2 linked regions of the Saccharomyces cerevisiae S288C genome follow. The protein of the gene in region 2 interacts with the protein of the main gene of each other region in a biochemical or structural test. Each region holds a gene or a part of one and is shown on either strand. Other genes may lie near its edges.

Region 1 (4,282 bases), on a different chromosome or scaffold from region 2:
TCCGCCAAAACTGCGTTTAAGTCCTCCAAAAGGTTATCAACCTTACCATTTATTTCTTGAGTATAACTTTCATTGTCTACTTTGTTTCTTTTACTTTTTTCTTCCTCCTCCTTTTTAGCAAGCGCTTCTTGCTCTTCTTTTTTTAATCTCTCAGCTGTTTCTTGTTCTCTTTGTTTTCTCTGTATTTCCAATAGTTCTCTCTCTTTTTTTAGGCGTTGCTCTTCTTCGAATTGCCGTTGACGTTTCAACTCCATTTGCTTTTTAGCCTCCAGTTCCATTTGACGTTTTCGTTCCTCTTCTTCGAGTTGTCGTTGGTGTTCCAATTCCATTTGCCTTTTCCTCTCCTCCTGCTTTATTCTTCTTTCCTCTTCTAATCTTTTCATCTCATTTTCCTTTTGTAACTGAAGTCTTTTTTGCTCTTCTAATCGTCTCAGTTCAGCCTCTTCTTGTTGCTGTTGTTGCTCTAACTCGTATCTTTTATTCACTTCATTCAATGTCGAATTGGAAGAATAGGGGGCCTTATTTAGAGATTTCATTCCTGCATGATATTCCACGCTTGCAGGCGTTGACACTGGATTAACGCTTTCTGTTTCAGACCTTCTTGTCCTCTCAGTAGGTGCTGAAAAGGGGACAGAGCCCACCGATTGGGTAGTGTTTGTCGTGAAATTACTTGTAGGTGACTTTATTGGAGATACGGAACCGGGGCGATTTGTGATGACTGCTCTTTGATAACTCCTCTCGTCAAGATAAAAAAGGGATAAATCCCAATTGACCAATTCAGGGACATGACCTTCGAATGTTTGAATGTATAGAGTAATTAGAGATTTAATGAAAACAGTTCTTTCCTTCGCAGAATTCGTTTCCCAGTAGTATTTTTTACTCATGGTAAGAATGAAGCCTTCAGATATCTCCAGGTCCTTCTCTACTCTTACTAGTTCGGTCAACTGCCAAGTTCTACCAATTTGAAAAGAGCCGTCTGAGTTTTCTCTTGCTTTATGAATTTGTATTAGCTTGGCATTGTTGGGCTTGGCACTCAAAATAAGGAGTCTTTTCTTTTTGTTCTCCAATTTTGAATCTGGAGGAGGTCTTGAACTAGGGAATTTTGAATCTTCTATAATCCGGACATGTGTAATATAATTATTCGGCGGTTCACCTGTCTTATGGTCGGGTCTGGAAAAGCAGCAATTAATTATGGCTTTCCTATCCCTTTCATATTGTTCGGCTAAAAAATTCGAAGTTTGAGAGGAATTTGAAGCTCTCGACACGTTTCTCTTATGCGAATAATTTCCACCAGAAACAGGTGGTGCGGAAGAGGGTACTGCACCTTGACTGACGTTTCTAGAATGGTGAGCACTGCTACCGGATATTGTTCTCTTGTGGAAAAACGATGTGTTTTCATCGTGTGATGTCTCACGACTGTGAGACTTCCTTTTAAAAGGAGACTTCGAGGACCTCATAATATAGAATAAATTGCGTAGCCTTGTTACCTAGCTGGAGATATCTGGCACCGACTCAGTCTTTATGACCGCTTTTTCTTCATAAGCTATGATACTGTTATTGCTATAAGTGTTCACCAAGTTAGTATTTGCCCATTAATACCGGGTGACATAGTCCCACAAGCGTGGTTCTCAAAAAGCAACGAAAAATTTTCTGACTTGGCAAGGTGAGACTTAGGCTGATAAGTAAGTACTTTTTAGTTTTTAGTGTACAATACCCCCTAAGGAACCCAGGTTTTAATACTATTATCTTTATAATGTCTCTCGACTTTAACACTTTGGCCCAAAACTTCACCCAGTTTTACTATAATCAATTTGATACCGATAGAAGCCAATTGGGTAACTTGTACAGAAATGAATCTATGCTAACATTCGAGACTAGTCAATTGCAAGGTGCAAAGGACATTGTTGAGAAATTAGTATCTTTGCCATTTCAAAAGGTCCAACATCGTATCACTACTTTGGATGCGCAACCTGCTTCCCCAAATGGCGATGTCTTAGTCATGATCACTGGTGATCTGTTGATTGACGAAGAACAAAATCCACAGCGTTTCTCTCAAGTGTTCCATTTGATTCCTGATGGAAACTCTTACTACGTGTTTAACGATATCTTCCGTTTGAATTACTCTGCTTAAGGATTTTTTAAGTCACCACAGAAACATGTATTTTCATTTTCGAATATTGTTTAGCATAATTGAAGATGCTTAGCTAACGATGTATAAGGCGATAGCGATAAAGAAGATATATATATATATATATGTATGAAGATAGCGTTTTTAAATGTATTTCTTTAATACTGATCTTCGATCATTTTGAGCTTGTTTGGCGGGAATACCATTCTTAATATCTTCAGAGACAAGTAAATCCACTTCAATTGACTTTTCGATATAGGTAACTAATTTTGAAATGTCAGTCTCTTGAACAGGAATGCGTACTATTCCATTATTGTCACCTGCAATATAATCACCAGGACATATTGTTTGGGTTACGCCATCACTCGTTAAGATTTTCAACTGTACGTTAGTGCCTACGGCTTTAACGACAGCCTTTGGAGCGCAAGATCCAACACCGTAAGCAAAAACGGGATGGTTTAAAGTCCGGTGTTCATCCACATCTCTTATGCGTCCAAAGACTACTGTCCCATTCGATTTCAAATATTGTGCTCTGGTACTCATCAGCCCCCCGTACATCGCTTGCGTAATTTTAATAAATGGGTGGAACTGACTTTGCAAATGGGGCTCCAGTGCGAGGACGAGTATTGAGTTGGGAGGGACAGAGTCTATATAGTTCACGGCAGGTCTTGGATCATCAATGGGTGCAAACAGTACTGTGTATGCAGTGCCTACTATGGAGCTATTTTGCGGTGGAGAAATTGCTGTTAGATTAGGGAAATAACCACCCGTTGGAATGTTATAAACATTCAACAATCCGTCCGAAATATCACAGGTTGAGAACCTCTGTAACTTTTGAAGATCTGACATTGCGGACGGCGGTTTCTACTTATACTGTTAATTTTTTTAAAAGTTGGTTTAGTTTATGGAAAGCCATACAGTTCAAGTTTTTTCGCGCTAAGTAAGGTGATCACTTTTTTTTATCGTTCTTATCACTTCCAGCTGTAATACATCATAGAGATTAATGAATGAGCAACGTTTGACTCACATACAGACCTAAGTGGCGGAAATTATTATTGGCAAAATAGCTGGGCTTGCAGTTTTCCTGATTATTTGGGTAAGCTGATGGTATTCTCCAAACGCGGTGGGCAAGATCTCAGATTATCTGCTCCTTATCGACTGCTTTTTATTTCTATAAATGAGCTTGTATACACATGTATAGTTTGTATTTGGATTATTTATACTTTTACGGATTATGTTCGTATTGTTTGTATTTCATTCCCTAATTTTCCTTTACAGATATAATTTCATGATTAAATTTCAAGGCAAAATATAAAATTATTCAGAAATAGCTTCATCACACAGTGTCTAGCGAAAATATTTGTTAAAATGCTTAACCCAAAGTGTCATTCTCGACAGTGAACCTTTCCTAAAAACTTACAATTGTTATTACAAAGTTCTTCGGGGGATAACAGTCATGGAGTTACAGCAATGATACCTTATGCGGCTAAGTTTTCTTTATTTGCACATAAAGGGTGCCTTCAACATTACTAGACTGCGTGGTGTTGTTCAATTCAAACTGGAGACATAGACTACGAAAATCTTTTAGTCAAATTTACAAGGGCGAGTAGCTTTTAATTGTGCCTTCATGTGCCAAGTAAATTGCGTACAAAAAGTGTCAAGAGATTTTCTCATTCCCTACATTTGCCAGTTCTATAGGCACCTTCTTGCGCATATACATATCTACAAATATCCCGGCTTATTTCCAGTATTACTATGTTTTACTCTTAATTCAAATAAGCACTGCTATTATTACTTTTGATCACGTCAAAAGATACAAAAGACAATCTACAAGTTTATGGCCTTGCATTGTTTATAATTTATGTGCTATCTGAGCATACCCGCCTTTTCTCTATTGTTATTCGAGAGAAGACTAAAAATATCTGCTGCAAGAACAAAAATGGGAACTGCTTGTCTCTTAAAATTATCAATCCACAATGGAAATAGACTTTTTTTACACAGCAACGGTTTTTGAATGCTATGAAACGGTCATTATCAGCTAACACGCTCAACACTTTACTCCATCTTCTTAAAGGGTGTAAACAGAACGATAAATGATTTCCATAAATAGTAAGGCCCAGCCGACAGCCTGCAGCGCAAAAGTGAACCGTTTCC
Region 2 (8,385 bases):
ATAAATTCGGCGCCTTTTTAAGGAAAGTTACCTCTTATGGGAACAACAACAACAACAGCACCAATGCCTCCTCCCTTTCTGCAAACGTCAATAATCCAGACACCTCATCGACGTCCCTATGGTCTTCTAGTTCAATGGAGTTCGACCCTTCAAAGATAACCACCGTCCCCGGCCTCGAGAATATACGGCCCTTGAAACACGTCTCCTTTGCTACGAACACCTATTTCAACGATCCTCCACAACAAATATGCAGTAAAAACCCTCGTAAAGGTGAAGTGGAAGTGAAGCCTAATGGATCTGTTGTCATTCATAGGTTGACTCCGCAAGAACGCAAAAAAATCATGGAATCGACTAGTTTGGGTGTTGTCGTTGGGGGGACCGGGCAATTAAAACTATTAAATCCCGAGGAAGACGACGCAAATGCCAAGAGTAAAGAGGAGATGGCCCCTCAAAAGCAGAACGAAGTGGAGGCACACGACGAGGAGGATAACAATTCTCAAAGGAGAAACATCGTTATGGCCGCTGCAGAAGCTGCTGCAGAGGCCAGAGCCAAAGAGGCACCTAACGAATTGAAACGTATCGTGACCAACAATGAAGAAGAAGTCACTGTCAGTAAGACCGCCAGCCATTTGACCATCGATAAGCCAATGATTTCAAGAAGGGGTGCTTCCACATCCTCTTTGGCCTCCATGGTGTCCAGTGATACCAACGGTACGAACGCAGATGATGAAGGAGAAATTCTTCCCCCACCTTCTTTGAAGATACCTCACGACATTGTGTATACCCGTTGTTGTCACTTGCGAGAAATTCTGCCCATACCAGCCACATTGAAGCAATTGAAAAAGGGCTCGACGGACCCTATCCCCATCTTACAGTTACGTAACCCAAGACCTTCTATGGTGGAAATTTGGTCGTTCAGCGATTTCTTGAGCATTGCTCCCGTTTTATGTCTTTCGTTGGACGGTGTACAATTAACCGTGCAAATGCTTAGAATAATTTTGAGTTCGCTGGTTTACAAACAGCATTTCCAAAAACTTTCTCTAAGAAACACCCCCTTGGATGAAGAAGGATGGAAAGTTCTGTGTTATTTTGTCTCCAAGGCCAAGTCTCTGCACTCTATTGATTTGACAATGGTCCCTTCCATCAAGACAAATGTACAAAAGCCTTCTAAATCTTCTTTGAAGTCAAAAATTCTGAGAATGCAATGCAACTTGGAAAATAGATCCGACATGAACTGGGACCTTTTGACAGCTTCTATTGCCCTCATGGGCGGTTTGGAGGAAATTGTCATTTCCGGGGCCAAGATGAATTCTGCACAATTCAAAAACTTCATCCTCGTTGCTTGTATAGCAACCGAGAGATTGGGCCTCGCGTATAATGGATTATCTAAGAGCCAATGTGATGATTTGGCCAAGTGGATGGTTCAATCAAAAGTGACAGGTCTAGACGTTGGTTTTAACGATTTGAATGGCAAACTTTCCTCTTTCACCGATGCTGTTTTAGGCAAAATACAAAAAGCTAACGAGAAAAACGTCTTCAAATTTTTATCTCTAAATGGGACAAATTTGAGAGTGAACGAACACGACACTTTTGAGAATAACGAGGTCTTAAAACTGATAAGCGTTTTATGTTATTTGGAAAATTTAAAATTCTTGGATATATCGAACAATCCTGCCATCTTCCCCCACTGTGTTCCGACGCTGATTGATTTTTTACCTGTTTTTGTTAATCTTGTCCGTCTGCATATCGACTACAATAATTTAAGTTCCACGAGTGTAGTGATGCTGGCCGAAATATTACCCATGTGTTCAAGATTGAATTATTTTTCCATGTTAGGAACGGAATTGGATTTGGCATCGTCTAAAGCTCTAGCAGAGGCGGTGAGGAAAAGTTCATCTTTGATGACTTTGGACGTGGACTATGTGTATATGCCAGAGAACATTAAGGAAAAAATTTCATTATATGCTTTAAGAAATATTCAAGGGGAGTTGAAAAGGGTTAATAGTGACGATAAAGATATCAAAGATAGCCAATTTTCAAGCCTACAGGACCAACTATCACTTTTATTAACTGAAAAAGCGGATAATTCCGAACATTACAACAAAATGGTTGAGAATTTCATGGCCAAAATCGCGTTGGCACGTATCAAGATTAGTAAAGTGGTTCATGATCTTTTTGATTTAAAACTGAATGGACAATTAAATTTGGAAGGTAAGGAAGCTTTGATTAGATTATGCTTCATAGAGGCAAGTTTGGAAAGAGGCTGTGACCTGCTGAAACAAAGACATAACAACACTTTGAAATCACCAGAGGCCGTCTCAAAAAGTCGGAAAGGGGGAAATCAAGCACAACCCAATTCCGAAAGCTGTCAAAGAATGTTACTAAGCTCATCTATATTACAAAATTCAGATCATATTGCGCTTATGCCATTCGGTAGTGCAATAGTCGAAAAGTCAAGCCCAGATGCAGAAGATGCCGTCGAATTCAGAGAAGGTGACGACTCCAACGTAAATCACGAAGACGTACCAGCAAATGATCAACAATTTCGAGATGAAGTTGATATCAAAAACAAATACTCTATCATTAAAAGAGAACTAGAACACGAAAAGCTTGTCGGTGGTGGCGATTTGCCAGTGGACAAAGAAATCTTAAATCGTGCCGCACAATCCTTAGATAGTGACCAGATAAAGGAATTTCTGTTGAAGAATGACGTCTCTACTATCCTTGGCGTCATTGATGAACTGCATAGCCAAGGGTACCACTTGCATCATATTTTCAAAAAACAGGGAAACCAAGAAGAGACCGCGTTCAGAACAAAGGATGAACAACAGTCCTCCCAATCCAATGATTCAAGTGCTAATGCGTCCCCTACCACTGATCCGATATCCACAGGCTCCAATACTTCTAGAACGAACGATAATGCTCATATTCCTCCGACCGATGCGCCTGGATTTGATAAATTTATGAACAATGCAGAGGAAAATGCCATTGACGCTGCTTATGATGATGTGCTAGACAAAATCCAGGATGCGCGGAACAGTAGTACTAAATAATAAGGGATTTCTCTTAATTTTTTAATCTCTTTTTTGTATTGGGTTTCGAAAATATAATAAGGAGCCCTCAGACATTTACGTATCCTTTCATGTATGATTATTTTAAGTATTTTGTATTTTTTATTATTATTAATGTAAGCATAATGCTTTTGTAGAACTTGAGACAACCCGGACGGGTCCGATGAGTTTTTTTCTTCAAACTTTTATAGAAAATAATAAATGGTGTTAGCACCACTCAGATGTGATATTTGACGTGTCGATTGTGATACCTGAAGACGCTATTGGAGAGCCATTGCAACGCACAGTCCAACAGTAATAAGCTCTGATCGTTTTGAAAAAGTATGTTTCTTTCCATTGGACGGTTGTCTTCCGATCAAAATTTTATCTCCTATACAATTTCTTCCTATTTACTAACGAAAACCTGCGAACCTGTAAACTACATGATTTTTAATATTAGTGAACTTCAATACACCTCAACAAAACAAAACGCCCTTTTCGTTCGGGACTGCCAACAATAACTCTAACACCACCAATCAGAATTCCTCTACTGGTGCGGGCGCCTTCGGAACAGGTCAATCAACATTTGGTTTCAACAATTCTGCGCCAAATAACACGAACAATGCAAACTCTTCAATCACACCTGCATTTGGTAGCAATAACACTGGTAATACTGCATTCGGTAACAGTAACCCCACAAGTAACGTTTTTGGCAGCAACAATTCTACGACTAATACATTTGGTAGTAATAGTGCAGGGACATCCCTTTTTGGATCTTCCAGTGCTCAACAAACGAAGAGCAATGGAACTGCTGGAGGAAATACATTTGGTTCTTCATCCTTATTCAATAACAGTACTAATAGCAATACGACAAAACCTGCGTTCGGCGGTTTGAATTTTGGCGGCGGCAATAACACAACTCCTAGCTCGACCGGTAATGCTAACACAAGTAATAACTTATTTGGCGCTACCGCAAATGCGAATAAGCCAGCCTTTTCCTTTGGTGCAACCACTAACGACGATAAAAAAACAGAACCAGACAAGCCTGCTTTCTCCTTTAATTCAAGTGTCGGTAATAAGACAGACGCTCAAGCTCCCACTACAGGATTTTCCTTTGGTTCACAACTAGGTGGAAACAAAACGGTTAACGAGGCTGCAAAGCCTTCCCTTTCATTTGGTTCAGGATCAGCTGGTGCTAACCCAGCTGGAGCTTCGCAACCCGAACCTACAACTAATGAACCAGCAAAACCAGCCCTCTCTTTTGGTACTGCAACATCCGACAATAAGACAACTAACACAACCCCAAGTTTTTCGTTTGGTGCTAAATCGGATGAAAATAAAGCTGGTGCTACTTCTAAGCCTGCCTTCTCATTCGGTGCTAAGCCAGAAGAAAAGAAGGATGATAATTCCTCAAAACCAGCTTTCTCATTTGGTGCCAAATCAAATGAAGACAAGCAAGATGGAACGGCTAAGCCAGCATTTTCCTTTGGTGCCAAGCCCGCGGAGAAGAATAACAATGAAACCTCCAAGCCGGCATTCTCTTTTGGAGCAAAGTCTGATGAGAAAAAGGATGGTGATGCCTCTAAACCTGCCTTCTCTTTTGGCGCTAAACCGGATGAAAATAAAGCTAGTGCTACTTCTAAGCCTGCCTTCTCATTCGGCGCTAAGCCAGAAGAAAAGAAGGATGATAATTCCTCAAAACCAGCTTTCTCATTTGGTGCCAAATCAAATGAAGACAAGCAAGATGGAACGGCTAAGCCAGCATTTTCCTTTGGTGCCAAGCCCGCGGAAAAGAATAACAATGAAACTTCCAAGCCGGCATTCTCTTTTGGAGCAAAGTCCGATGAGAAAAAGGATGGCGATGCCTCTAAACCTGCCTTCTCATTTGGTGCTAAATCGGATGAAAAAAAGGACAGTGATTCTTCGAAGCCTGCCTTCTCATTTGGTACTAAATCGAATGAAAAAAAGGACAGTGGTTCTTCGAAGCCTGCCTTCTCATTCGGTGCTAAACCCGATGAAAAGAAGAATGATGAAGTCTCCAAGCCTGCCTTCTCATTCGGAGCAAAGGCTAACGAAAAGAAAGAAAGTGATGAATCAAAATCAGCCTTTTCATTTGGTTCTAAGCCTACAGGAAAGGAGGAAGGCGATGGGGCGAAGGCTGCCATTTCCTTTGGTGCTAAACCCGAAGAACAGAAATCCAGTGATACGAGCAAGCCAGCGTTTACTTTTGGTGCTCAAAAAGATAATGAGAAGAAAACAGAGGAATCTTCTACGGGGAAGTCAACCGCAGATGTCAAATCAAGTGATAGCTTGAAATTAAATTCTAAACCAGTAGAATTGAAGCCAGTTTCTCTCGACAATAAAACACTGGACGATTTAGTAACGAAATGGACTAACCAACTAACAGAATCGGCCTCTCATTTTGAACAGTATACCAAAAAAATTAATAGTTGGGATCAGGTACTAGTGAAAGGAGGTGAACAAATTAGTCAGTTATACTCAGATGCTGTGATGGCGGAACATAGTCAAAACAAAATAGATCAATCTCTACAATATATCGAGAGGCAACAGGATGAATTAGAAAACTTCTTAGACAATTTTGAAACCAAGACAGAGGCACTTCTGTCCGATGTTGTGTCTACAAGTTCAGGTGCTGCGGCCAACAATAATGACCAAAAAAGACAACAGGCCTATAAGACAGCCCAGACTTTGGACGAAAATTTAAACTCGTTGTCATCCAATCTTTCTTCTCTAATAGTAGAAATCAACAATGTTAGTAATACATTCAACAAAACCACTAACATCGATATAAACAATGAAGACGAAAATATTCAACTAATCAAAATCTTGAATTCACATTTCGACGCTTTAAGGTCACTAGACGATAACTCCACCTCTCTGGAAAAACAAATCAACTCGATAAAGAAATGATCTAAAAGAAAAAATTCCCTCTATTCTACACTTATTTGACATAGGATGTGCTATATTAAATAATTATATATAGGTATCAAAATGTACGCGATGGTTCAGAACCTGCAATTAATTTAACACCTCAATCATACTTGTTTTTTTCCTTTTTCAAGAAGTTTTTGTAATGTGTCGTGCCGATCTGTAAACGACCTGGATTTTTATTTCATTAGACAGTAAATACGCACCAAATCAGAACCAAAGAAAGGCTTCTGTAGTGTATGAAACTAAAAGCCACTTTTTGTGATAGTTTCTTCTTAGTACTTAGTACACAACCAAATATTTTGCAAAATGAAATCGATTCCTAAAAGTAATTCTTAAAAGTGATAATGAATGACTTAATCGTTATTTTGATATCCTGTTAATGTGCATAACATCACAATTAGCTTCACCATTTCGTTTAAACTTTGGTTATTAGGATCCGACGAATTTTTCTTATCTTCTTTTTCCCTCAAAAGATCTCTTTTGAATATTCCGATCACTAGCCTCTTATACGTATTCAGTAAACCCTTTACCGTTTGAACAACAGCTTTGTTTGAGCTCCCCATGCTCACTAAAACAGCTGATATCAATTGGAATATAGGAACGATTAACTCAAACAAGGAAACACCATTAGCATCTTTGTCAACTAGTAGCGGATTATCCAAGGTGACGTTAACCTTTAAGAATTTGGAATTCTGAACGTAGACTTCGTCAAACATAAGGTCTAGACCCAAATCAGGATCAACTTTTAAAAATGACAATTCCGCGATTATTCGGAATAGATTATTTTCAATTAAAGCGCTAGCTCCACCTCTAGTTTCGGCAACACGTATTAAAAAGAATACAGTGGCTTTAAAAGCTGTCAATTCATATAACAAATCATCAATGTTTATGTGCTCTGTAGTAGAATTTAACAAAGCATCTGTATTTTTCAGCGAACGTATTATTAAGAGCAGTCTTGTAGTTTTCATCAGTGAATCCAATATAAAATTCTCTTTACTTCTATTAGCCAGTTGAATAAGTGAATCCAATAGTAATATACCTGTAACCCTACTAGTTCCCTCGCCATAAACAACATCGTTCCATATGATCTCTACCAATTTTTTACTTCCTAGTCTCAAATCCTGCAGAACCTTTTCGGACCCTACTTGGTCGCTTAGAACTCTACTCAAATAATGGTTTGCTAATATATAGAAATCGGACCTTAATGCCACAGAGGAGAGTGGGGAGTTTATACCCTGAATACATGTCTTGAACAACTGATATAGCCTGCCGTCTACCGTGCCTTTGTCGGTAATCAACTTACGATCGCGGTTATATATATCAAATAGGAAAACGGCGAGAGAAACCAATTCTTCTGAAAAAGTTATATTAAACTCAATATAATCACTAATCTTCGGAATAATTGTACCAAAAACCTCCAGAATAAAGTTTGATCTTGTTGATGGTTCCAATTTTCCATCAGTAACAATGATTTGCACCAACTGTACCCAAGAGTGCAGCACAGATAGGTTCAACTCCAATGCTTTGTTTCTTGATATAATATTCGTGAAATGGCTTTTTGCTTTTATACACTCGACATCTGCATCCTTCAAAAATTGTTCTTTTGACACAGTGAGACTGAAGGAATTAGAATGTAAGCTTTCAGCACGGACTCTTTTAATCAGGCGCATAAGGTTTTCCATTTTGTGAAAGTCATAGATATTGCCGGAGCAATACTTGTTAAGAGTGACTTGTTCCAAATTTAAAGGAACATTGGTGAAAATTGATAACGTCTCTTTTGGTTCGCAGATATTGCCATAGTTTAATGGATCCAAGAAAGAAAACAACCTTACCGAATACATTGTATTTGATATCAAGTAATTCACATATGTTAAAACCTCTGATTTCGTGCCCGAAAATGAAATTTTATGAATGAACAGACCCAAATATTGTGTCCAATAATTCCTGTAGGCTAAGAATGACAGAAATGCACCAACGGATTCGCTCTCGATGAAGTTCTTACATTTTTCCTCTGTAGAATTGTCAAAAGGAGAGCCGTTCCATGTCGTGAACCTTGTCACTTGTGGATCGAGGATCATTATTCTCTCAAAAAAGTTTTCTTTGATTAGGTATGAATATAGTAGACCAGATGTTAACGGATTACGACATAGTTTGAGAATAATTTCCAGTGCTGCTGTAGCCAATCTCATAGGTGCATAATCGATATTGTCCTTAGTAATGCTGTTCAATGAAGCTTCCAACACGCTTATGAGGGAATCAAGTAATGAGGTTCCGGAAGATATAAATGTTGCTAGGTTAGGTCCCAGGGATATAACGTTTGAGACCTGGAAACCTAATAACAGATGAGAAATAGTCATCGTTCGACTATAATTAGAAAGATTTG

What was found.
Region 1: the proteins of NSP1 (region 2) and NTF2 form a complex in vitro, tested with the Saccharomyces cerevisiae proteins (2 studies listed by BioGRID).

Annotation. Positions count from the first base shown.
Region 1 is NC_001137.3:170,362-174,643, forward strand, and holds NTF2 (Ran GTPase-binding protein NTF2), read left to right. Parts: upstream 1-1,753; coding exon 1,754-2,131; downstream 2,132-4,282. Other genes in the region: GTP-Rho binding exocyst subunit SEC3, read right to left, coding at 1-1,457; YER010C (bifunctional 4-hydroxy-4-methyl-2-oxoglutarate aldolase/oxaloacetate decarboxylase), read right to left, coding at 2,273-2,977. UniProt on the Saccharomyces cerevisiae protein: Facilitates protein transport into the nucleus. Interacts with various nucleoporins and with Ran-GDP. Could be part of a multicomponent system of cytosolic factors that assemble at the pore complex during nuclear import.
Region 2 is NC_001142.9:362,393-370,777, forward strand, and holds NSP1 (FG-nucleoporin NSP1), read left to right. Parts: upstream 1-3,391; coding exon 3,392-3,392; intron 3,393-3,510; coding exon 3,511-5,981; downstream 5,982-8,385. Other genes in the region: MHP1 (Mhp1p), read left to right, coding at 1-3,053; NUP192 (Nup192p), read right to left, coding at 6,356-8,385.